Linked DNA regions of Macaca mulatta. The protein of the gene in region 1 purifies or fractionates together with the protein of each later gene. This does not show direct contact. Links are inferred from orthologs where the notes say so. Each region holds a gene or a part of one and is shown on either strand. Other genes may lie near its edges.

Region 1 (7,326 bases):
TGTCCAAGAGGCCTCTCTCACAGCTTCTGGTGGAAGCTGGCGGTCTCTGGCATTCCTTGGCTTAGAGAAGCATCACCCCAGTCTCTGCGTCTGTCTTCACACAGCCTTCTCCCTGTGTGAGTGCCTGTATCCACATTTCCTGCCTTTCTAAATTGAATTTATTTTTTCAAAAAAAAAAAAAGCTTTTTTTTTTTTTTTTTTTTTTTTTTTTAAGGGCCTCACTCAGTCACCCAGGCTGGACTGCAGTGGTGTGATCACGGCTCACTGCAGCCTCAAACTCCTGCACTAAGGCGATCCTCCCACCTTAGCCTCCTGCGTAGCTGGGACTAGAGGTGTGTGCCACCATGACCAGCTAATTTTGTTTTTTGTAGAGATGGGTTCTTGCCATGTTGCCTGGGTTGGTCTTGAACTTCTGTGTTCAAGCGATCCTCCCACCTCAGCCTCCCAAAACAGTGGGATTACTGGCCTGTGCCACCACGCCTGGCCTAAATTTCCCTTATTTTTATAAGGATATCAGTCACATTTGATTAGAGATCACCCTATACCAGTGTGACCTCATCTTAACTGATTACACCCCCAATGACTATATCCAAATCAGGTCACGTTCTGAGGTCCCAAGGGGTTAGGACTTCGGCTATGAATTTGGATTGTGGGGTGGGGGGAACACGATTGAACCGCTCACTGGATGAATTATTGAGCATTGGCAGCCAGAAAAAGACCCGATTGAGGCCAAAGAGCAAGCGATGTTGGGAGCTTAGGAAAGAGGATTCTGGCCGAGGGGCCGGGGATCCCCAGGTCAGTGCACACCTGCTCTGCACCAGCTGCTCTGATTCTAGCCTGACTGAATGTGACCATGTCCAGAGAGAAGAGGAAAGCGGAGTTCCCATGGTCCTTGGAGACACCTGTCCTTGGGAGGCATCAGAGCTTTCCCCAGCACTTGGCTCTAGGGCGCTTCTCCTCTGGGGCTTCATCCAGGGACGGCAGTAGGTCCAGTCAGTGACAGCCTCAGCTCTGCTCCACCGGCACCAGGGTCACGGTTTGGCAGGTCCCCAAATACTGCCCCAGTCCAGACGGGTCTGCAGCAAGCCAGGGCAGGCCCGGACACTGTAGGGGAGGCTGGGGGCCCAGGCAGCCTCTTTTTCTCTGGGGACAGCACTGGCAGCCCCTGACCCACATTGTGGGGTGGCCAAGTGTCCGCAGAGCTCCTGCCCACAGGCTGATGGAGGTGCCCCGGGCCTGGGAGCAGCACGGCTTCCCCAGAGACCTCTTGGGCCCCGTAGTGACATGCTCCCTCGATTCCCACCGCTACCGGGTGGAGCTGGCCTCCAGCCCCACACTCCTCTCCTCATGGGGCTCTCCTGTTCCCCTGCTGGGCTGCCCGCTGCCCTGTGAGCAGGGGCAATGTCTGTCGTTCCTTCTCTGGGACATGATAGGAGCTTCTCAGAGGATGCTGTGTGTTCTCGGCACACAGATTCTGCCCAGTGACTCCTGAGTGGCGGTTTCTCCCTGCGTTCTGGTCTCAGTTACCTTGGCTCATCAGTTCTGTGCCCCTCCCTCAAAGGGAACGAACTCCTTTTGCACAGGTTCAAGTCCCCACCCTTCCCGGGCACACAGCTCCTGCTCCCTCTGTTCCTGCTCCCTCTTCTCCTGCTCCCTCTGCTCCTGCTCCCTCCTCTCCTGCTCACTCCTCCATATCCCAGCCTGCTGATGAGGCTGTGAGTCCTGCCAGGCTGCCCCTTCACAGGCAGAGGGGTTCTGCCGTGGTCCTTTTTTTTTATTTTTGAGACGGAGTCTCACTCTGTCCCGCTGGCTGGAGTGCAGTGGCGCAATCTCGACTCACTGCAAGCTCCGCCTCCCAGGTTCACACCACTCTCCTGCCTCAGCCTCCCCAAGTAGCTGGGACTACAGGCGCCCGCCACTGCGCCCGGCTAAATTTTTTTTGTATTTTTAGTAGAGATGGGGTTTCACCGTGGTCTCGGTCTCCTGACCTTGTGATCCGCCCGCCTCGGCCTCCCAAAGTGCTGGGATTACAGCGTGAGCCACCGTGCCCGGCCCCGCCATGGTCCTTTTTCTCCTTCTGGGCCCGTGGGGTCTGCACGGCTGTCAGCGCCAACCTGAGAAAGCACTGAAGGCCTTGTCTTGCATCGGCCTGCGGGCTCCCCTCACTGCCCTCTCCACACGAATGATGAATGTACCATTTTGACAAAGTATCCAGAAGGTTCTCTTCAGTTTTCTTTGATTTTGCAAAATAAAAATCCAAAAGGTGTTGAGTCATTTAATATTGAATCCTTGAGTGGATTTGAGTACAAACTCGGGTTCCTCCATCAGGGCTTCCGTGGCAAGCTTGCTCTTTGGCAGGGGCGTCTCGTGGAGTCTCGTGCGCTCCCAGTAGCTCCCAGCTTGCTTGCCCGCTGCAGCACGGACTTCTTTCGGGCACCAGGACCTATCTCTGGCACTGGCTCATTGTCCAGCACATCAGAGAGGTAGCCACCCACAAGCGTCAGGCCCTCAGTTGCTGGGCTTTGTGACATAGGAGTCACACTTGCCTCCTTGAGGATGGTGAGCACCCAGTGAGGAAGCGCTGCCAGGCACCCCGGCTCACGGCCCATCACGCAGTGAGCTTGCCACCATGCGGCTGCAGGTGGTGAGTGTCAGTGATGATAATCGTTCCTTGCATGAATTCTTACCACACAGTGTTGGCTTTTCCTAACCTAAAATTTAGCACCTTCCTCAGTGCTTTGGCCACGTACCTGTCCTAATCTCAGAAAGTGGTTGTGTTCTCAAGGTGTCGTATGCTCGCCCGAGCTCAGAGGTCATCAAAGATGCCAACTTGTACATCAGCGGGCTCCCTCGGACCATGACCCAGAAGGACGTAGAGGACATGTTCTCTCGGTTTGGGCGGATCATCAACTCACGAGTCCTCGTGGATCAGACCACAGGTACCAGAGGGGCCCGAGATGTGTGGGGAGGGTGTTCTCTAGGTGGGGGCTGGGTTTTCTAGGGAAGGCAGATCACTGTTTGATTTTAAATGTCATTAGTTATTCTGCAAAAGAGGACAACACCAAAATGAGAAGACGTTGACTTTGGTTTGAGAAGGCTGAGGAGGTAAGATGGCATTAAAAGAAGCTGGAGATGGCTGGGCGTGGTGGCTCACGCCTGTAATCCCAGCACTTTGGGAGGCCGAGGCGGGTGGATCATGAGGTCAGGAGATCGAGACCAGCCTGACCAACATGGTGAAACCCCGTCTCTACTAAAAATACAAAAAATTAGGTGGGCATGGTGGTGGGCGCCTATAGTCCCAGCTACTCGGGAGGCCGAGGCAGGAGAATAGCATGAACCCAGGAAGCGGAGGTTGCGGTGAGCTGAGATCATGCCACTGCACTCCAGCCTGAGTGACACAGCAAGACTCCGTCTCAAAAAAAAAAAAAAAAAGGCCGGGGATTAGGCCAGCGTTTCATGTATGGTGAAGACACCAAGAGATTCTAGCACCTTCCCTCAAGCACCCAAATTCCTGGCCTTGCCCATGAACGGGGTGAAAAGGACACTGCAGGCTGGGTGTGGTGGCTCATGCCTATAATCCCAGCACTTTGGGAGGCCGAGGCAGATGGATCACCTGAGATCAGGAGTTCGAGACCAGCCTGGCCAACATGGTGAAGTCCCATCTCTACTAAAAATACAAAAATTAGCCGGGTATAGTGGCAGGTGCCTGTAATCTCAGCTACTCGGGAGGCTGAGGCAAGAGAATCGCCTGAACCCACGAGGCGGAGATTGCGGCCAGCCGAGATTGCACCACTGAGCTCCAGCCTGGGCAACAGAGCAGGATTCCATCTCAAAAAAAATAAAGGATACTGTAGCCAGGTGTGGTGGTGTGGGCTTGTCATCACAGCTGCTCAGGAGACTGAGGCGGGAGGACTGCTTGAACCCAGGAGTATACAGCTGTGGTGAGCCGTGATCATGCCACTACACTTCAGCCTGGGCAACAGAGCAAGATGCTGTTTCTTTTTTTTTTTTAAAAAAAAAAAAAAAAAAAAAAAAGGCTGCTACACATTTGTCCACTGTGAATTTCATTGCAGGCATTTGGGGTGCAGTAGTCTGATGGCCCAAATCCCCAGAATTCGGATGCCCTTCTCTGGGGAGCACATCTAAAATGCACAGAGCACATGGCAGTGAATTCCTCTAATGGGCAGGCAATCCTGGCCACTTTGCTGGCCCTTCCATGCTGTCTTGCCATTGGACATGGGCATGGGGCTTTGTGTGACGCCATCAGGCAGAGATGAGCAGGGGACATGTGCACATCCACGGCTGTGCTCCGGCCCCACTTCCTGGCCCGCCTGCCGCACTAGGCTGGGAACCAGTGCACCACCACATCCTTTGCCAAGCCCTGCATGTGGCCCCGCCTGGGGGATGGGGAGCTCGGGCCACCCTGAGGGGATTTAGAATCGCTTAGCTCTGTTTGGGGCAGGAGCAGGAGTGTGCTGACCAACCAGGAGGGAAGAGTCCGCTCCCCAAGCCCAGTGAGGCCTGTGCGTTCGTTTTAAGGGTGGTTTTCATATTCCTCCCACACAGACTGTGCCCCACCTTGGCTGTGATGTTGAAATAACACCGAGTAGTCGGGCCACAGGAAGTCGTGCTCTGAGGTGACCTCTTTTCGGGAGAACAGCAGCACTCCCCCAACAGCCCAGAGCCTTGCCTTTCATGTGCACACAGGTGGGGCCTTCCTGGCCTGCAGGCTGGAGGGGCATGCACATCGTCCTGCATCCCCTGAGCTGCGTGCTTTGGGGTGGGCGGCCTTATCAGTCTCTCTCCCTCCTGGCCGGCTGTGGGAACCCCACCTGGCACGCACCGGCCCTGCTGCTGCCGGCCTTCCGTCCCGCTGGGGCCCGAGGAGGGGAAGGGCCCCTGTGCACTTCACGGGGGCTCTGGGGGCTGCCTGTAGCCTAGCACAGACTCGTGCCCTGGCACCCAGCAGTGCCGAAGGACGGGGCTCACTCGCACGGCCGCCTCTATTCTGTCTTCGCTCTGGGGAGAGGGTCGGGGGATGCCAGTTACTTGGTGTAAACTCCCCTGATTTGTACCAGAAGAATCTCCTGTGGTTCCTGAAGTCCCCTCACTTACTTTCAAGTGCTAGCTGAAAGAACGATCCTGTCGGTGGGCCAGTGTGTGGGTTCCTTGCCCCCCACTTTGCATTATGGCATCTGAACTGGCTGCGCAGGGCCCGGGGCTGGGGAAGCTGACCTCGCCGGCCCACAGTCCACTCTCCTCCTCCTCTAGACCCCACATGCACGGCTTTGCCTCGGCCTCTCTCTGTCCAGTACGGTCCTGATGATGGGAGCCTACACTCCACTTGGAGCCCCCAGTGCCTGAGAGCATGCCTCCAGCCACCCAACTCTCCCGGGGCCTTCCCTAGTCTCTCAGGCACACACAGGCCACAGGCAGGGGGAACTCACCTCTGCACACAGCTGCTGGGGGCATTGCTTCCTTTCCCTCTGCAAGGTAGTGTCTCCCAGGGTGTTGGGGGCACCTCAGTATCGCCCGCCAGGTCAGCTGTGAACCTCAAGGTGGCATAAGCAACCTTTGGCATCTTTGTAGAGGGGTGAAGGAGGCAGAGAAGGGAGCCAGGAGGGTCTCCCTGGCTCTGCTTCCCACCCCAGGGTGCAGAATTGGTGGGAAGGTGAGGCTCCCATCCCAGGGCTATGGCTCCCTCTGCTGGGGACAGAGGGTGCCTGTTCCTGGGACCTCATGAGGCGCAAGGCGGACAGCAGGGAAGAGAAGTGTGTGGCAAACCAGCCTGTGTGGAGTTTGCCTTCCTGCGATGGGCTTTTCAGTGTTAAATAGACGAGGATGGCTGGGCGCGGTGGCTCACACCTGTAATCCTAATACTTTGGGAGGCCGAGGTGGGAGGATTGCTTGAGCCCAGAAGTTCAGAACAGCCTGGCCAACATAGCGAGACCCCAACTCTTTTTTAAAAAAAGAGAAAAAAATCCCATCTTGAGCTGAAACAGCTTAATTTTTTTTTATTCCTTTGCTTCTGTATCCATCTTAATTGTGAACGTTATAGTGTGTTCATCTGGAGATTATGCTGTTTCTTGGACTCTGCTGTTAAATTCTAAAAAACACAAGGGGGCTGGGCGCGGTGGCTCACGCCTGTAATCCCAGCACTTTGGGAGGCCGAGGCAGGTGGATCTCCTGAGGTCAGCAGTTCGAGACCAGCCTGGCCAACATGGCAAAACTCCATTTCTACTAAAAATAGGCCAGGCGCGGTGGCTCACGCCTGTAATCCCAGCACTTTGGGAGGCCGAGGCATGTGGATCACGAGGTCGAGAGGTCAAGACCATCCTGGCCAACATGGTGAAACCCTGTCTCTACTAAGAATACAAAAAATTAGCCAGGCTTGGTGGCGGGCACCTGTAATCCCAGCTACTGGGGAGGCTGAGGCAGGAGAATCACTTGAATCTGGGAGGCGGAGGTTGCAGTGAGCCGAGATTGCACTATTGCACTCCACCCTGGGCAAAAAGAGTGAAACTCCATCTCAAATAAATAAAGTAAAATAAAATAAAATAAAGATTAGCCGGGCATGATGGCAGGTGCCTGGAGTCCCACCTACTTGGGAGGCTGAGGCAGGAGAATCACTTGAACCAGGGAGGTGGGGGTTGCAGTGAACTGAGATCGTGCCATTGTACTCCAGCCTGGGTGACAGAGTGAGACTCCATCTTAAAGACAAATTAAAAATAAAAAACACTAGGGGAAGACAAAAAAAAAAAATGCAGAGCCATCTTCAGAAAGTATACATCCATTACATAATTGAGTGAATTGATATCCCCCTGTGTTAAACAGCATCGCTCCTGCCCCGCTTGAGTTTTCTTCGTTTCACTCAGGCAGTTTGCATTTGAAAGCCACTTGACAACACCAGAGGAGCCCACACTTGCACGCATGCCTTCTCTCCGCTGTGCCGCAAGGTCTTTAGAAACAGAATGAAGCCATCTGCTTGGAGCCAGCTTCCCTACGAGCCGGCCAGCGTCAGCTCTCAGTCGTATTTGCCTAAAGTTAGATTTTCATTTAGGTTTCCAGGACTGACTAAGCTGTCATTCGTGTCGTGAGAGAGTCAAAGAAAACAGCGTCTGTCAGGGTTATGTTTTCAGGTGTTCCTTCTGAGCAGCAGCTCAGAAATGAGCTTGAGCCCCAGAATATTCCTGGCACATGTGTGTAGCGCTAGGTCTGACCTTACTAAGGCTGCTGTCTGTGTGCTCACGTGTGACCTGCAGTGTCGCGATTGTGGGGCAGCTGGTAGGACCCTCTGGAAAGTGGTGGAGTAAGGTGCCGGAAGAG
Region 2 (6,628 bases), on another chromosome or scaffold:
TGATAGAGTCTTTCCTCATTTCTCAGGAGAACTTTTATGTGGCAAGCAAGGGTGTACCTGGATTACTTGTTAGTGACTATTGGTGGGCGTAAAAGTTGAGATTCTTTGAAATCTCTACCAGTTGATTTATTTTGGTGGAGATCAAGGGAAGTATATCATCTGTATAATGTATATCTCCAAGTACAAAGGTAATCTGATATCCCAAGGTATTCAGATTTTGAGAATTGAGATTTAGGTTGATGTCATTATGACAGTCTCTTCTCACTGGTATATCAATGAAAGGGAGAAAACCATCATTTATACTGGTCAGCTCTAAGGCAGAAACACAGAGAAGCAGAAAAGCTGATTTTATAATCTACCCTTCTTTTTCTTCATTTTCTCCATGAACCTAGCAAATACAAGCCCACCATTCCCCAGTACCTCCTCATTTGCACACACATTAATTCTCTTCCATGTTCCTGCTCCAGTTTATTACCCAAGGAACTGGTTGACTTTGTCATTTATTTCGATTTAGCTCTGTAATGTTGTCATCTGAGGATTTAGGACCTGGGTCTTTTCTGTTCTTTTTATCTTTTCTTCATAGGATTCTTTTCTGTCCTATGTTAAAAGACAGACCATTACTCATCCTTAGAAGCAACTCTTTGATCAATAAAGTCTTTTCAAAGTCACTGACTTCTTTGTACAGTATCTGAATTTTTCATGAAATATTGAGTAGATATGGTGCTGAGGGCAAACTGAGACTCTATTTTAGTTAAGGAATCAGAGTTCCTGGAATGCTAGGGCTCTTTCACAGTATACTGTGATTCAAGTTTAGAGCTTTATTGTTCCAACCTTAAAAACTTAAAGTATGCTGTCACCAGGTGATGCTGTTACCTCAGTCCTGGCTTTCATATCAATGAGGGTTCAACTGATTGAACCCTACTATAAAGACACATGCACACGTATGTTTATTGTGGCACTATTCACAATAGCAAAGACTTGGAACCAACCCAAATGTCCATCAATGATAGACTGGATTAAGAAAATGTGGCACATATACACCATGGAATACTATGCAGCCATAAAAAAGGATGTGTTCATATCCTTTGCAGGGACATGGATGAAGCTGGAAACCATCATTCTCAGTAGACTATCACAAGGACAGAAAATCAAACACCTGCATGTTCTCACTCATAGGTGGGAATTGAACAATGAAAACACTTGGACACAGGGCAGGGAACATCACACACCAGGGCCTTTTAGGGTGTGGAGGCTGGGGAAGGGATAGCATTAGGAGACATACATAATGTAGATGACAGGTTGATGGTTGCAGCAAACTACCATGGCACGTGTATACCTGTGTAACAAACCTGCACGTTCTGCACATGTACCCTAGAACTTAAAGTATAATAGAATAAAAAAAATGAAGTTAGGCATAAAATAATGGGTACTGTAGTTACACAGGATTCAAAATATCAAAATAAATCGAGTTGTATATGTGAGGATAGTGATTACCTTCGTGGGCTGTGACTTGAAGGGAGCTCATCTGGATCTGCTGGGGTGCTGGGAATGTTCTGGTTCTGTATGGGTTCTATTACAGGATTCCATTCAACTTTTTACAAAAAGAATCATTGATGTGAATGCTATGTGCACTTTTCTGAATGCACATATATGTCAATAAAAAATGTAAAAAACTACACATTCCTGATCATTAAGAACAGGAGCCCCAACCCCCTGGCCGTGGACTGGTACAGGTCCATGGCTTGTTAGGAACCGGGCCACACAACAGGTGAGTAGCAGGTGAGCATTAGTCAGAAAACTTTGCCCAAGAAAGACGCATTCCAGAGAGAAATATCATTAAAATTGGATATTCCAAGGGGCACAGGAGTTGGCCAGTTTTCTAGAAGAATACTGAAAGCATAGGGCAGCCCAGCCTTGACCTTGCAGGGACAGAGAGCTCCAGGAACTTTGATGTTATCACTCGTCACTTACTGAGAACATGGACAGAAGGTGCTTCAGGTCCGTGAGGGTCAGAGATGCAGAGGTCCACAGAGCTACCCCAACCCTAGGAGAACTTTGTATTTCAAAAGCAGGTGTTCCATCATGGTAAGGAGGTAATATCCCCTCAGGCAGCGATCAGAGCCCAGATGGCCTTCTATCACCACAGCGGCTATGATGGGGAAGGCTGTAATGGGGAAGTACAGAAGATTCTTGACCTGGGTCTTCAGTCCAAGATCAAATATTTCAAATGGAGAAGAGGGGACAGCCCAGGCAGGAAAAAAACGTGCAATGTTAAAGACACGTTACTATTAATCATATTCAGAGTTATCAAGTATTTCAGGATTAAGGAACGAGGACTGAATGAGATAGACTGAGACACGGTTTTTTAAATTTTATTTTTTACTTTTAGGAAGTCTTTTTGCAAACCATACAAGATATAATAGAGATCTCATCAAAGATGACACCCTAGAGATGGAGAGGAGAAAACAAAACTTAAGTCCCATAAAGAAGGCAGAAACACGTTTTTGGTTGATCAAGATGAGTTTGGGCCAAATATAAGGAGGGAATCACAAAGCCATCTGGGGCAGGAATGTTGATGATGAAGTGACTTCCCTGCTAAAGCTCGCTTGCTGGGATCCAGATGCCTCTGCAGAGAGAAAGGTGGTTCAGAGTTCATGGGGAAAATAGGCAGGGTTTGTGGCTGAGAAGTGGTGCCAATGGGGAGAATGGCAGTGTCCAGAGAAAGCCATCAATAGTCAGTGGATCCTTGTGATCCAATATTCAGTGGACAGAGGGTTAGAGGGGCTGTGTTTCTTCCTCCGTCATTGAAACCAGGACTGAAGAAGGGCCGCAGAGGTCCTGTAAAGGCACATTCAGAGAAGGAGTAGATGAGGGAGCCATGGTCAGTGATGTTGTAGAAGGAGACCATGCCGGCCTCATAGTCCAGGAAAATCCCAATTTGGCATGGAGGCACCTGAAGGTGGAGGGGGGTCTGGGGGTAGGTGCCAGCCTCATATTTTTGTTTGTTCCACAACCAAATTGTCCAGAAGCCACTCTTGGAACTAAGCAAAAAGTGCCCCTTCCTGCGCACAGAGTCTCTGCAGACACCCAGGTCCCAGGCCTCCTTTCCTGTCACATCTACCTCCCAGTAATGTTTTCCAGAGTGGAAGTGCTGGGCACCCAGGACCATAGGATAACTATCAAATCTCTCTTCATTTCCAGGTATGCTCTGCTGGGTGTCTCCAAGCCTCACTTGTCTCCGATCTTCTGAAAGTATGAGCCATGGATTGGCTGTGTCTGGATCCAGAGTGATGTGGACTGCAGAGAGAGGACCATAGTCATGTCTTGCATGGGGGGAGTCACTAACTCTGTGCCTGTGGTGGGGGGATTTTGGGCAAGCATGAGGGGTCAACCTCCCTGTGTGAGGAAATGACCATCAGCCAGTTCTTGCCTTGGTCCTGACCTTTGAAGAAACCATCTTCCTTACCTCCATCTCTGCTCCCCCTGCTCTGACCTTCCATCTCTCCTCCAAGTTGCCATCCAGGCTCCCTGACCCTGGGATCTACTCTGCACCCCCATTATCCCCCGCAAAATTCCTAGAGCTTGCCTCACCTGCACATGTCCTCAGCATCTTCTTCAGCCCTGGCACATGGCACACACTCCTGAGTTCTGGAGAGGCAATATCCAGGCCCTTCAGGTTCCAGGACTCACTCCTGGGGGAAAGAGAGTTTGAGACTCCTGTCTCTTACTCCTATCCCAAACCCTAACACTATAACCTCCATTGTGGAGGAGGACTCTGATAATTTAATTCAACTCAAATTTACAAACACTTCTGGTGTTCAAGTCTTCAGGGGTGGGTGTGAGAGGCAAACAATGCAGGATTTAGTTTCTACCCAGGAGTTCCTGGTTATAGGCTGCAGCATGTGGACAGTCTGTCTCTCCTCTCTAAGCCTGAGGTCACCTGGCAAATGCATTCAATTTCATTTTATAGGCAATCCATCTGAGACAGGCTGAATCACTTCTGCAAGGAACCTCAAGGAGTCTTGCCCACACTGTGGGTCTGACTCATGGCTCTTTTTGGGAGGTAACTTGTTAGATTCCACTGAGAAAAGGAGTTCCAGCTGGCCATGCTCCAGTAGTCTGAATTCTGGAAAGACCCAGAACTTCCCAGGATTTCCCTGTTTGGCAGGGCTTTACTGTGTGAAGATGTTACGATCCAACTACTGTGGGCAATCACCAACTAAGATGTCCACTTATTAGCTTTCTGAGACCAGAAAATATTTTATAGACAATGAAGTCTTTGAGAATAGGAAGCCAGATGGGGAAAACTTCAGTGCATGTATTTCTAATTCAATAACCTTTGTCATAGGCATATATGCTTTCTGCTGGCCCCTCTTCTAAAAAAGAAAACTCCTCCTTACCTTTCCAGGACAATTATCACCTCCTGAGGAGAAAAGAGACACAGAGTAAGTTCTGGATTGCTGGATTGCCACTGAGACATTAGCCCTGTGGGTGATGTGATCCATCTGTGGTCCCTGGGGAACTGTTCCTTTCCTTCCTCTGGTCCAAAGCCCCAAAGATGATTCTGACCAGCTTGAAGCAGAAAGGATGTGTGGATGCTTGTGAGGTAACCAGAAGCCCAGCATGGATGTGACCTACAGCTGGGGAAGGATTATCAGTTTGAGGACTCTGACTCAAAGACCAGATTTTTTTCCCCCAGGGTAGAAAGAAAGGAGGGCAGAGAGGGCACATAGCCCAGCTTGGCTTAAGCCCAATCACAGGCAGAGAATGGCCAAGTTCAGGTGTCTAGAAACTGCTCTGTTCCATTTGTGGGCTAGCATTGCTTGGGAAGGAAAGGTTGGTTAGTTAAAGTTCCCTTGGGTACTTAATGTTGCCCCTTCCTGTATGTGAAACCAAATCACTGAAAATATTTTTGTTATAGGGATTGGGAGCCATTACATGGGAGCTAGCAGGATCCTAGACTCAGTTAAAAGTATGTTAGAAAGCCTGGTTCATGGCCAGGCATGGTGGCTCACACCTGTAATCCCAGCACTTTGGGAGGCTGAGGTGGGAGTCTGAGGTTGGGAGTTCAAGACCAGCCTGACCAACATGGAGAAACCCCATCTCTACTAGGGATGCAAAATTAGCCAGGTGTGGTGATGTAAGGCTGAGGCAGGAGAATCGCTTGAACCCGGGAGGTGGAGGTTGCAGTGAGGCAAGACCGCGCCATTGTACTCCAGCCCGGGCAACAAGAGTGAAACTCCATCTCAAAATAAATAAATAAATAAATAATAAATAAATAAATAAATAAATAAATAAGAAAGCCTGGTTTGGGCAGAAGAGAGCCTGTCAAGTCAACCCAATACAATTAGGTTTTCTGCACACACCAGAAAGCAATGGCTCATGACCACGCTGAGTCACAGTGAACAGGGGTGAAGAAAGAACTGTAGAATGTTAGAACAGAAGGGACTTGTGAGACGATCTAGTCCATCATTTCGTACAGTGAGGCAAACATATCATTGGTGGATGCAAGATGATTCTAAGTGCAACATACATTGATTTTTAAAAAGGTCCTATACTTATTTTCATCTTTACTTTGTGCCTTGAATGCAAACCATTCGTGGGTTTGAATTCTACTTTATTTAAGAACATTCCAGGGACCAGGTGTCCATTTATTCGAATGGCAGTTCCAGATAGCTCTGGTCTTTTTCAGTTATTCCCGGAATAGTAGAAGGGAACCCCTCCCTGTCTCACCTGCAGCAGTTCCAGTGCTGAGCCCTGGCGCCTTCTCTCTAGCTCTGAGATGAGCTCCTGCAGGGCCTGGCTCTGTTGGGCCAGTTCGGCCTCTTTCTCCCCTAGGATTCTCAGCTGCTCCCTCTCATCCTTCTCCAGCTCCTGCAGCTGCCTCTGTTCTTCTTCAACCAGGAAGTTTTTTTGCTGCACAAACTCTGCGTGAATCCTACATTTCTGTGTCTCCACCGTTTTCTTTAGTGTCAAGGGAAAGAGAGAGGTGGTTTTTATGAAAAGCTCCCAAACTTTGGGAATGGAGGTATTGGTACCTATTCCTATTCCCCAAAGACTCCACTCTGGTGTTGTCTGGGAAAACACACGCACACACACACAAGCATGTGCACACACACACACACAATTTTGCTTGGGAGGTAGGTGAAGTTTCCGGGACAGTGAGGGGAATGGACTTGGTGAGGGCACATTGTAGCTGGCCTACAACCACAGCTACACGGATATACGGCATTGGGGACTTTTTCCAACCTCTCTTCCAAACCCAGTCACCACTCAAATGTGCCCCTGTGTCTTCCTGTCTCAGTGAGTTACTGAGAAAAAAAACACCTGTTCCCACCTCCAACAACCTCACAAAGCCAGGCTGACACCACCACCTCCAAGTCCTGGGAAAGGGGGCTTGGGGACATTCTTTGCTTTTCATCTCCTGTTAGTAACTGGAAGGTCACTCGATGACATGAGGGTCTGTTTTGTCACCACAACCCAACTCACACCCTACCTCAATCCCAAATGTTTCTTTTCTGGGATCTACTGGGGATGGGCTCCTTCCTCTCCCCTCTCATCCCCAACATGCTCCACGTCTCCTTGGAAATGATCAGTGCAGAACAAACATGGATTCTTCATTATATTT
Region 3 (7,326 bases), on another chromosome or scaffold:
AGCAATAAAGATAAAACAATTAGTGTAAATATAGAAAGAGGCAGCAAATGGAGGTATTTTAATCAATTACCCAAGTAGGGGGAAGAAAATTGGAAAAATGTTAAGGTCAAGAAATGAACCATCCTTTAAGGCTGATTAAAACACCCCTCTGCATGTTTTTAAAACCTGAAGGAAATTTTATTTTTCTTCCCACTGAGGTGTAATCCACCCTCTTGGTGGGGCCTGGAGAGCTTCTATAAACAATCCACGTTTAAAAGTGCCTTGCGCTAGAATTTCTGACACCCCGAGGGGCAGAGAATGTTGGGCCAATTGGGTGGGTGTCTGGGGCTAAGAGATCAGGGTTCCTCACTGGAACATCTTTCTCAATCAAGTGGGCAAACCTGATCTACAGCCCGGCCCAGGTGTCCCAGATTCCCACTCATTCTCAGGCCTGCCGGGGAGAGCACACTCTCGATTTCTGCCCGTTGTTGTCCTGGACTCGAAGGGACAGGGAGGGGCTGGTCACTTCCTCCGTGCCTGGGCCTGGTTACTCTGTCCCTTCTGATGCTGCTGCTTAACCTGGGCCAGGATGTCTCGGATCTTCCGCTGAGCCATCTGCAGCAAGAACAGGCAAGAGGGTGGGTGTGAGGACCTCCAAGGAGACAGCCTTCCACGGAAGAGAGGTCGTCAGGTCCAGACCCAGGCAATAAACATAATAGGTCACACGGGACTCAGAGGAAAGATAAAGAGGAAGAATGAGGGGTGGGGTGACCTTACATTTCTTTGCCTCCAGTGGAGCCTGAGCATCCCCTGGAAAATACAGCAAACGTGGTGGGTTTAAGTGGGAGATGGGGTTGGGGGACATGAAGGAAGGAGAAACAGTAGTATCAATCCATTCATCAGAATTTAAAATTTGACAAAGTTGATACACATTACCAAACCCAAAACAGAATGCCTAGAGTTTCTAGGCAGAAATATATTACGCATTGTACAGCAGTGGTCCCCAACTCCCAACTGTTCTGGCACCAGGAACTGGTTTCATGGAAGACAATTTTTCTTCCACAGATGGAGGTGGGGGTGGGGAAGTGGTTTCAGGATGAAGCCTCAAATCAGCATGCATTAGATTCTCATAAGGAGTGTGCAACCTAGATCCTTCGCATGTACTACACATCCCTGGAGCACTTCACAACAGGGTTCACCCTCCTATGAGAATCTAATGCCGCCCTGATCTGACAGGAAGCAGGGCTCAGGAGGTAATGCCCGCTCGTCCGCTGCTCACCTCCTGCTGTGCAGCCCAGTACCAGTCCGTGGCCCGGAGTTTGCGGACCCCTGTTATAGAGGGTCATAACTTAGGAGACATCATCAGAAATCCATGCTTCATTTTAATACCCCAGGAAAAGGAATAAAATGTCCAGATATGGCCAGGAGCGGTGGCTCACGCCTGTAATCCTAGCACTTTGGGAGGCTGAGGTGGGTGAATCACCTGAGGTCAGGAGTTCGAGAGCAGCCTGGCCAACATGGTGAAACCCCATCTTTACTAAAAATACAAAAATTAGCCAAGCGTGGTGATGCACACCTATAATCCCAGCTCTTTGGGAGGCTGAGGCAGTGAGATCACTTGAGCCCAAGTGTTTGAGACTAGCCTGGGCCACACGGTGAAACCTCATTACTACAAAAAAAATACAAAAATTAGCTGAGTGTTGTGGTATCTGCTTGTAGTCCCCGCTACTTGGGGGGCCTGAGGTGGGAGGATCACTTGAGCCTGGGAGGTAGAGGCTGCAGTGAGCTATGGTCACACCACTGCCCTCCAGCCTGGGTGGCAGAGCGAGACCCTATCGCCAAAAAAAAAAAAAAAAAAAAGAAAGAAAGAAAGAAAAGAGGAAGTTGATCTAGGTTGGGAAAATAATGTGGAGTCAATAAGAGGTCCAACTCCATCAACCATGGCTTGATGTTTTACATAGCTTTTCATTTAATTCTCCTTCTGATCAGCTAAAATTGCTTCCGTGTTTAATATTAATATATCCTGGCTTTGTGCATCTTTGGATATTTACTCTCTTAAAAAAAAAACAGCTGAATTAAAGATTCACATTTACCCTCTTAAGCTTCATTTATAAAATGAAATTGTTGTGAGAATTAAATGAGTTAATATATATAAACCACAAAAAACAGTGCTGGGTATATCCAAAGGCACCCATAAATCTTAGATATTATTATTATTTTATGGCTCTTATTAATACTTCCTTTTTTATTTGTTATTTTATATATATATTGTTGAGATGTAACGAAAGCCTCTTATAAATACTTCTCAAAGGGTTACCAGAGAAAGTAACTTATCCAAGGTCACATAGCAGAAAGGCTATATATGTGAAGTTTGAGGTCAAAGCTCCCTGGCTCCAAAACCTCCATACTTGATGCTGTACTATATGGCACTGGAAGCCAAAAAACCAAGAGCCAGTTTGCCCCAATTGCTCTAGCAGCCCCAGCAGACCACAAGCCTGCTAAGATCTGGATATCCTCTATGAATTGTAGGAACTGTGATCAACAGTCTCCAAAGTTCCTTTCCAGTTCTAACACTGATGGATTTAAGACTTTAGGAAAACACCATTAGCTGTCAACCACCTGTTTGCTTGCCTTGCTGAGGTTCAGCAAAATTTGAACCTGATATTGGCCTTCCCTTCCAGGCCCTGAGGCCTGTCCAAGTGCTGAATAGCGATGATGAGTTCTGGGAAAGGAATGGGAGGATGAAGAGCAGAAAACAGAGAGAGAACAGCCATTCTGAGAGAGGCAGAGGGACTACATTTCAAAAAGTAATCAATCCAGGGTATTAGTACTGTTATCATTATTCCATGAACAAAACCAATCTTCTTTCATAACCAGTGCAGAAAGGGTTTAGGGAAGGACTAATGTAGAACATATATATCTATGAAACATATATACATTAAACTTGTCAAATCACTTTCCCTAGAGAATAATAAGAGGGAATATGTCATCTACACATCCCACTTCTGCACCTCAAAGAGGGCAATAACCTAGCCCAGAGGCAGGCAGATGTGGCTGAGGCCCCAGGACTTGTCAAGGTCATGCAGGTCAACCTCTGGAGTCTCTGCTTCTCTGCTCCCTGGGCTCCTGCAGCCCTCCCGCAATGGGGGAGCACCATATGTACCTGACTGGCATAGAAATGTCCGATGATTTTCACGATGACCTGGTCGTTCTCATCAGGGGTCTGGTCTCTTGGTACTACCACCTCAGCTGCCGTCAAATTCTGCAACTCGTTCACCTGGGGGTGGCCAGAGAGGAGCTCAGGGTGCCATCAAGAAAGCATGGGTGGGGTTGGAGGAAGGAACCAGGGTTAACTAGTAGGGAGAAACTGGAAGAGTCAGGACGTGAGCTTGGGGAGTAGAATCAAGTAAATGAGCAAATCAGGAGTCCTGAGATTGAGCAGCACAGGAGGCCAGAGAGAGCTGTTGAGATTGGAGACCATGGCCCAGGGCTTTCAACCTGGCCCTCACAGCTCACCGTTTTGCCACCTTTGCCAATGACCCGGCCAGCTGCTGATGCTGGCACACGTATGTGGGTCTCCAGCTTCACTTCCTCCTTGGGACCAAAGAAGTTCTCCTCCTTGAGTTTGCCGTAGATTCTTCCCTGAGCCTGAAAAGAGCAGGTAATTGTTAATCAGTGGTTCATATATCTATGACAAAAGGGAAAAGTGGGAAAAAGGAAGCTCCAGCCCATATTTTCTGGCCCACAGGCCCTCCCCATCCTGGGTGGGCTAACCATCTAAGGCAGGTGAAGGGCAAGGCTCAGGTGGGCAGCTTGTCAGCACTCCTTCTGCTTAGCTATCATACTGGAGACCCTGGGTGGAGATTATGAGTTATAAGTAACTGAATAAACACTTCCCAAGGGAAAAAACAGTTCCCAGAGGAATGGAATTCACAAGCTACAAACCAGACCTATGGAGTCTGGACACGGCACTGATCAGCATTTCAAGGCCCTGAATGGCAACTAATCAAGTCACACAGAGAGCAGGCCTGTCTGACTCTCCAGTGGCCCAGAGAGCTGTCCCACTCCTCTATCATCACATATGTTAGGTTAAGCTAATTGATGGTTTATTTTTTGGCTGTCTGATCAGAAGTCCAAGAACCTTAGGATTTAGTGGGGACATAAAAGAATTTGGCATTAAAGGCCTTCCTTAGAAATGAAGGCAGAGTGCAAATAAGATGCCCTCGGACTTCTTTCCTTCCCATCTTCTTCTATGGACCTTAAAAAGGGAAGACGAAGACAACAGAAATCCAGTTTGATGTCAATTTGAAAATAGCTCTGCAGCCCTTTATCCTGCATGGAAGGCTTAAAGATGTGATGAGGACTTGATGGCTAACGGGAAACTGCCCCAGCCTTTTTCCTACCTCAGGGGAAATACTCAACCTCAATTCCTCCATGTTCAGCTTGCAAAACAATAAAGACCAAAACCTTGAATTGGGCCTCTGGCGGTCCAGTGATGATAACCATACGGACTTTGGAGTCAGGTGTTTCAGGTGGTGCAATCTAAAAACAAAAAGCTTGTCAATGAAGGACCCTCTATGGGAAAACCCCCACCATGTCCACAGTTGCCCTTCTACCACCCTTACTCCCAACTACCCATTCTGAAGACTTAGGGAAGGAAGAACAAAGACTCTGAAGCCCACATCATTACGCCTGCACACCAGAATTATTAGAAGGGCAGAGGTGGTCAGTTAGAAGGACTGGCTTCAATGACACTTTCTAACTAGGGCCTCCTGCTCTCTCCACTTACCAATCTCCCAATCTCCCAGAGAGGTTTCAGTGGAGTCCTGCCAACAGGCAAGGACACAAATGAAATGACCAACGGATAGAGGTCAGTGACTGCACCTCCAGTGGAGAACAATCAAGGTTTCTGCTCAAAGCTTTTAAGATAACTAAAGCAACTGGATTTAAGTTTGTGAAAATTTAACAGCACCCTTGTTTCACTATGACAGATTCTCCCTTCTCTCTCCCCTGGACCTTGACCAGGGAAGGCGACAGACAACTAACACTTAACTTGGTGTTAGTATGTAAGCGAAGGGCTTTCTTTGGCTACATAGCTTCATAATATTGTACTGATGAGGAAAGTGAGGCTCGGATCATATAGTGTATTGGGAGAAGGGGGTGATGAGGTGGATCTGGGATTTGAACCCAAGTCAATTGGTGTTAGAACCTAAGTTCTCTTTCTATGTTATAACCCTGCCCCTGCCCAGCCTGAAAACCCAGAAGCACTGAAGCCATCCCATGGGAACCAAGCAAGGTCAAAAACAAAGAGAACTTTGATTCCATGGGGGAAAGGTCCCTCACATGACACACAGAATTCTCAAATGAGTAGGGGGAATGTGGGAGAAAGTGCAGAGTGATAAAAGCAGAGCCCCTTCCCTTTCCAGAAACAGGAAGACCCACAGAGCAGATCACCTTGATGGAGGCGCTGGCAAACCGGGAGAGCTGTTTGATGTGCTGCCCCTTCTTGCCGATGATGGCGCCCACTGCCTGGGCGGGAATAAACACCTGCACCATCTCCTGCTCGGGAGCCTGCTGCCAGGAGAGGGGGCGTTACTACCAGGGGGCCCAAGTAGCATGGCCCAGAAACCCTCCACTCCCCTGCCTTGCACCCTCAAAAGGAAGGAGTAGACACCAAACTGCCACCCTGGGCTGCCAAGGGATGCTGTGAGCTCTTTAGTTCTTCCAATGCCCAGCAGGGCTAAAGGGAAGAGGCCAGGAAAGAGTGAGGTTACAGTGCTGCCTATGCCCCGGGAACTTTCTAGGCAGACATTTGGGAGCCTCAGAGCCAGTGGCTAGGAGCACTGGAGAGGAGGGATGCCCATGAGACCTTCCTTCCCTCTCCCTGCAAACTTGCCAACTCCCATAGGGTGTTGGGTCCCCCTAAGGCAGGCCACATATGGGCCCAGGGGTCCCGTGTAGTAAGACCTTCCACCTACCATAAAGGAGCTATAGGGAGCAGCCCCAGTAACGCTGCTGGGAGGTGGCGGGACTGCGCTGGACGAGGCGGGGAAAAGACCTACAGCAGCCAGGTTCAGGCCAGGGATCAGGTGAGACTGCAGCTGGGGAAGAAAGGTGAGGACGAGGAGTCAGCACACCCTGACAGGCCCTGGCTGTACAAAACGCGAGTAGCCCCAGGGGGAAGTGGGCCAAAAACATGAATTACATGCTTTTGCACAAAAGCCTATTCTGTGCTTTTCATACACTCTCACCTACACACTTCGGGCGTGGAATTTTAAGTGATATGATGTTCTCACTGGACTAACGGCTAGCAACTGCAACCAGAAATGCCAAACAGTTATACACCCTCAGGAGTTCTTCCTCTCTGGCTGTTCAGGCTGCTGGAGACAGACGATAGACTCATGACACTGTACTATAATCCCCCTACATGAGAAAAAGGCGTGGAGACAGCTCCACCTAACTTCTAGGACTGTGGTTCTAAACATTTTTGGTCCTGTACACCAACCCCAAGTCTCCTTTAAAAATCAGATGAGTTGCATGCAGTGGCTCATGCTTATAATCCTAGTACTTTGGGAGGCCAAGGCAGGAGAATCGCTTGAGCCCAGGAGTTCGAGACCAACCTGGGTGACACAGCAAGACCCTGTTCCAAAAAATACAATTTTTAAAAATTAGCTGGGCATGGTGGTGCACACCTGTAGTCTCCTAGGTACTTGGGAGGCTGAAGCAGGAGTATCCCTTCAGCCCAGGGGGTCATGGCTGCAGTAAGCTATGATTGTGCCATTGCGCTCCAACCTGGGCAACAGACCAAGACCCTATCTCAAAAAAATTAAAAAAAAAAAAAAAAATCAGATGACAATGATGGATCCCCGCATTTCACTAAAGTGCACACAAACACAAATTGTACACATACTTGGAATCACAGGACTCAAAGCCCAAGATTGGACCCCTACTCTAGGAACCAGGTGAAGAATCCTTGCTAATTAAATACTATTTAAATACTATTTCTGACAGTCGAGATCCAAAACCATCAACTAAAGCTCCAAAGCCACACGGCACAGGGCACATGTCCATCACCCCCCACCCCCCAAGTTGCTGTTGCTAAGACTCAGGAAAGGATAAGCAGAGGGTACTACCCAGCACTCACGCTCATGGCGGCCACATCGTTCTCATAGGCCTCCCGAACTTTCTTCATTATTTCCTGCTCGGCCCTGCAACAATTCTCAATGGCCCCCTTCACAGTGATGGTCCTCTCGGGGTTGTAAAGAGTAAGGTCTTGCAACCTGGCAGGAAGAGCAGAGTCGTGTCCTTTCACTGGCAGGCCAGGACCAGGCCCCGGCAGGAGCAAAG

The links.
Region 2: the proteins of ELAVL1 (region 1) and TRIM21 purify together in Homo sapiens (affinity purification with western blotting; 3 studies listed by BioGRID, with this or other methods). This does not show direct contact. The link is inferred for Macaca mulatta from reciprocal best matches to the Homo sapiens genes ELAVL1 and TRIM21.
Region 3: the proteins of ELAVL1 (region 1) and IGF2BP1 purify together in Homo sapiens (co-immunoprecipitation; 3 studies listed by BioGRID and IntAct, with this or other methods). This does not show direct contact. The link is inferred for Macaca mulatta from reciprocal best matches to the Homo sapiens genes ELAVL1 and IGF2BP1.

Annotation. Positions count from the first base shown.
Region 1 is NC_133424.1:8,844,918-8,852,243, reverse strand, and holds part of ELAVL1 (ELAV-like protein 1), read left to right. Parts: intron 1-2,785; coding exon 2,786-2,939; intron 2,940-6,269; exon of another isoform or gene 6,270-6,567; intron 6,568-7,326. UniProt on the Homo sapiens protein: RNA-binding protein that binds to the 3'-UTR region of mRNAs and increases their stability.
Region 2 is NC_133419.1:71,541,106-71,547,733, reverse strand, and holds the end of TRIM21 (E3 ubiquitin-protein ligase TRIM21), read right to left. Parts: intron 5,965-6,628; coding exon 5,734-5,964; intron 4,424-5,733; coding exon 4,401-4,423; intron 3,693-4,400; coding exon 3,592-3,692; intron 3,298-3,591; coding exon 2,729-3,297; 3' UTR 2,357-2,728; downstream 1-2,356. UniProt on the Homo sapiens protein: E3 ubiquitin-protein ligase whose activity is dependent on E2 enzymes, UBE2D1, UBE2D2, UBE2E1 and UBE2E2.
Region 3 is NC_133421.1:60,957,286-60,964,611, forward strand, and holds part of IGF2BP1 (insulin-like growth factor 2 mRNA-binding protein 1), read right to left. Parts: intron 7,260-7,326; coding exon 7,124-7,259; intron 6,081-7,123; coding exon 5,958-6,080; intron 5,554-5,957; coding exon 5,434-5,553; intron 4,522-5,433; coding exon 4,447-4,521; intron 3,628-4,446; coding exon 3,496-3,627; intron 3,257-3,495; coding exon 3,143-3,256; intron 595-3,142; coding exon 502-594; 3' UTR 1-501. UniProt on the Homo sapiens protein: RNA-binding factor that recruits target transcripts to cytoplasmic protein-RNA complexes (mRNPs). This transcript 'caging' into mRNPs allows mRNA transport and transient storage.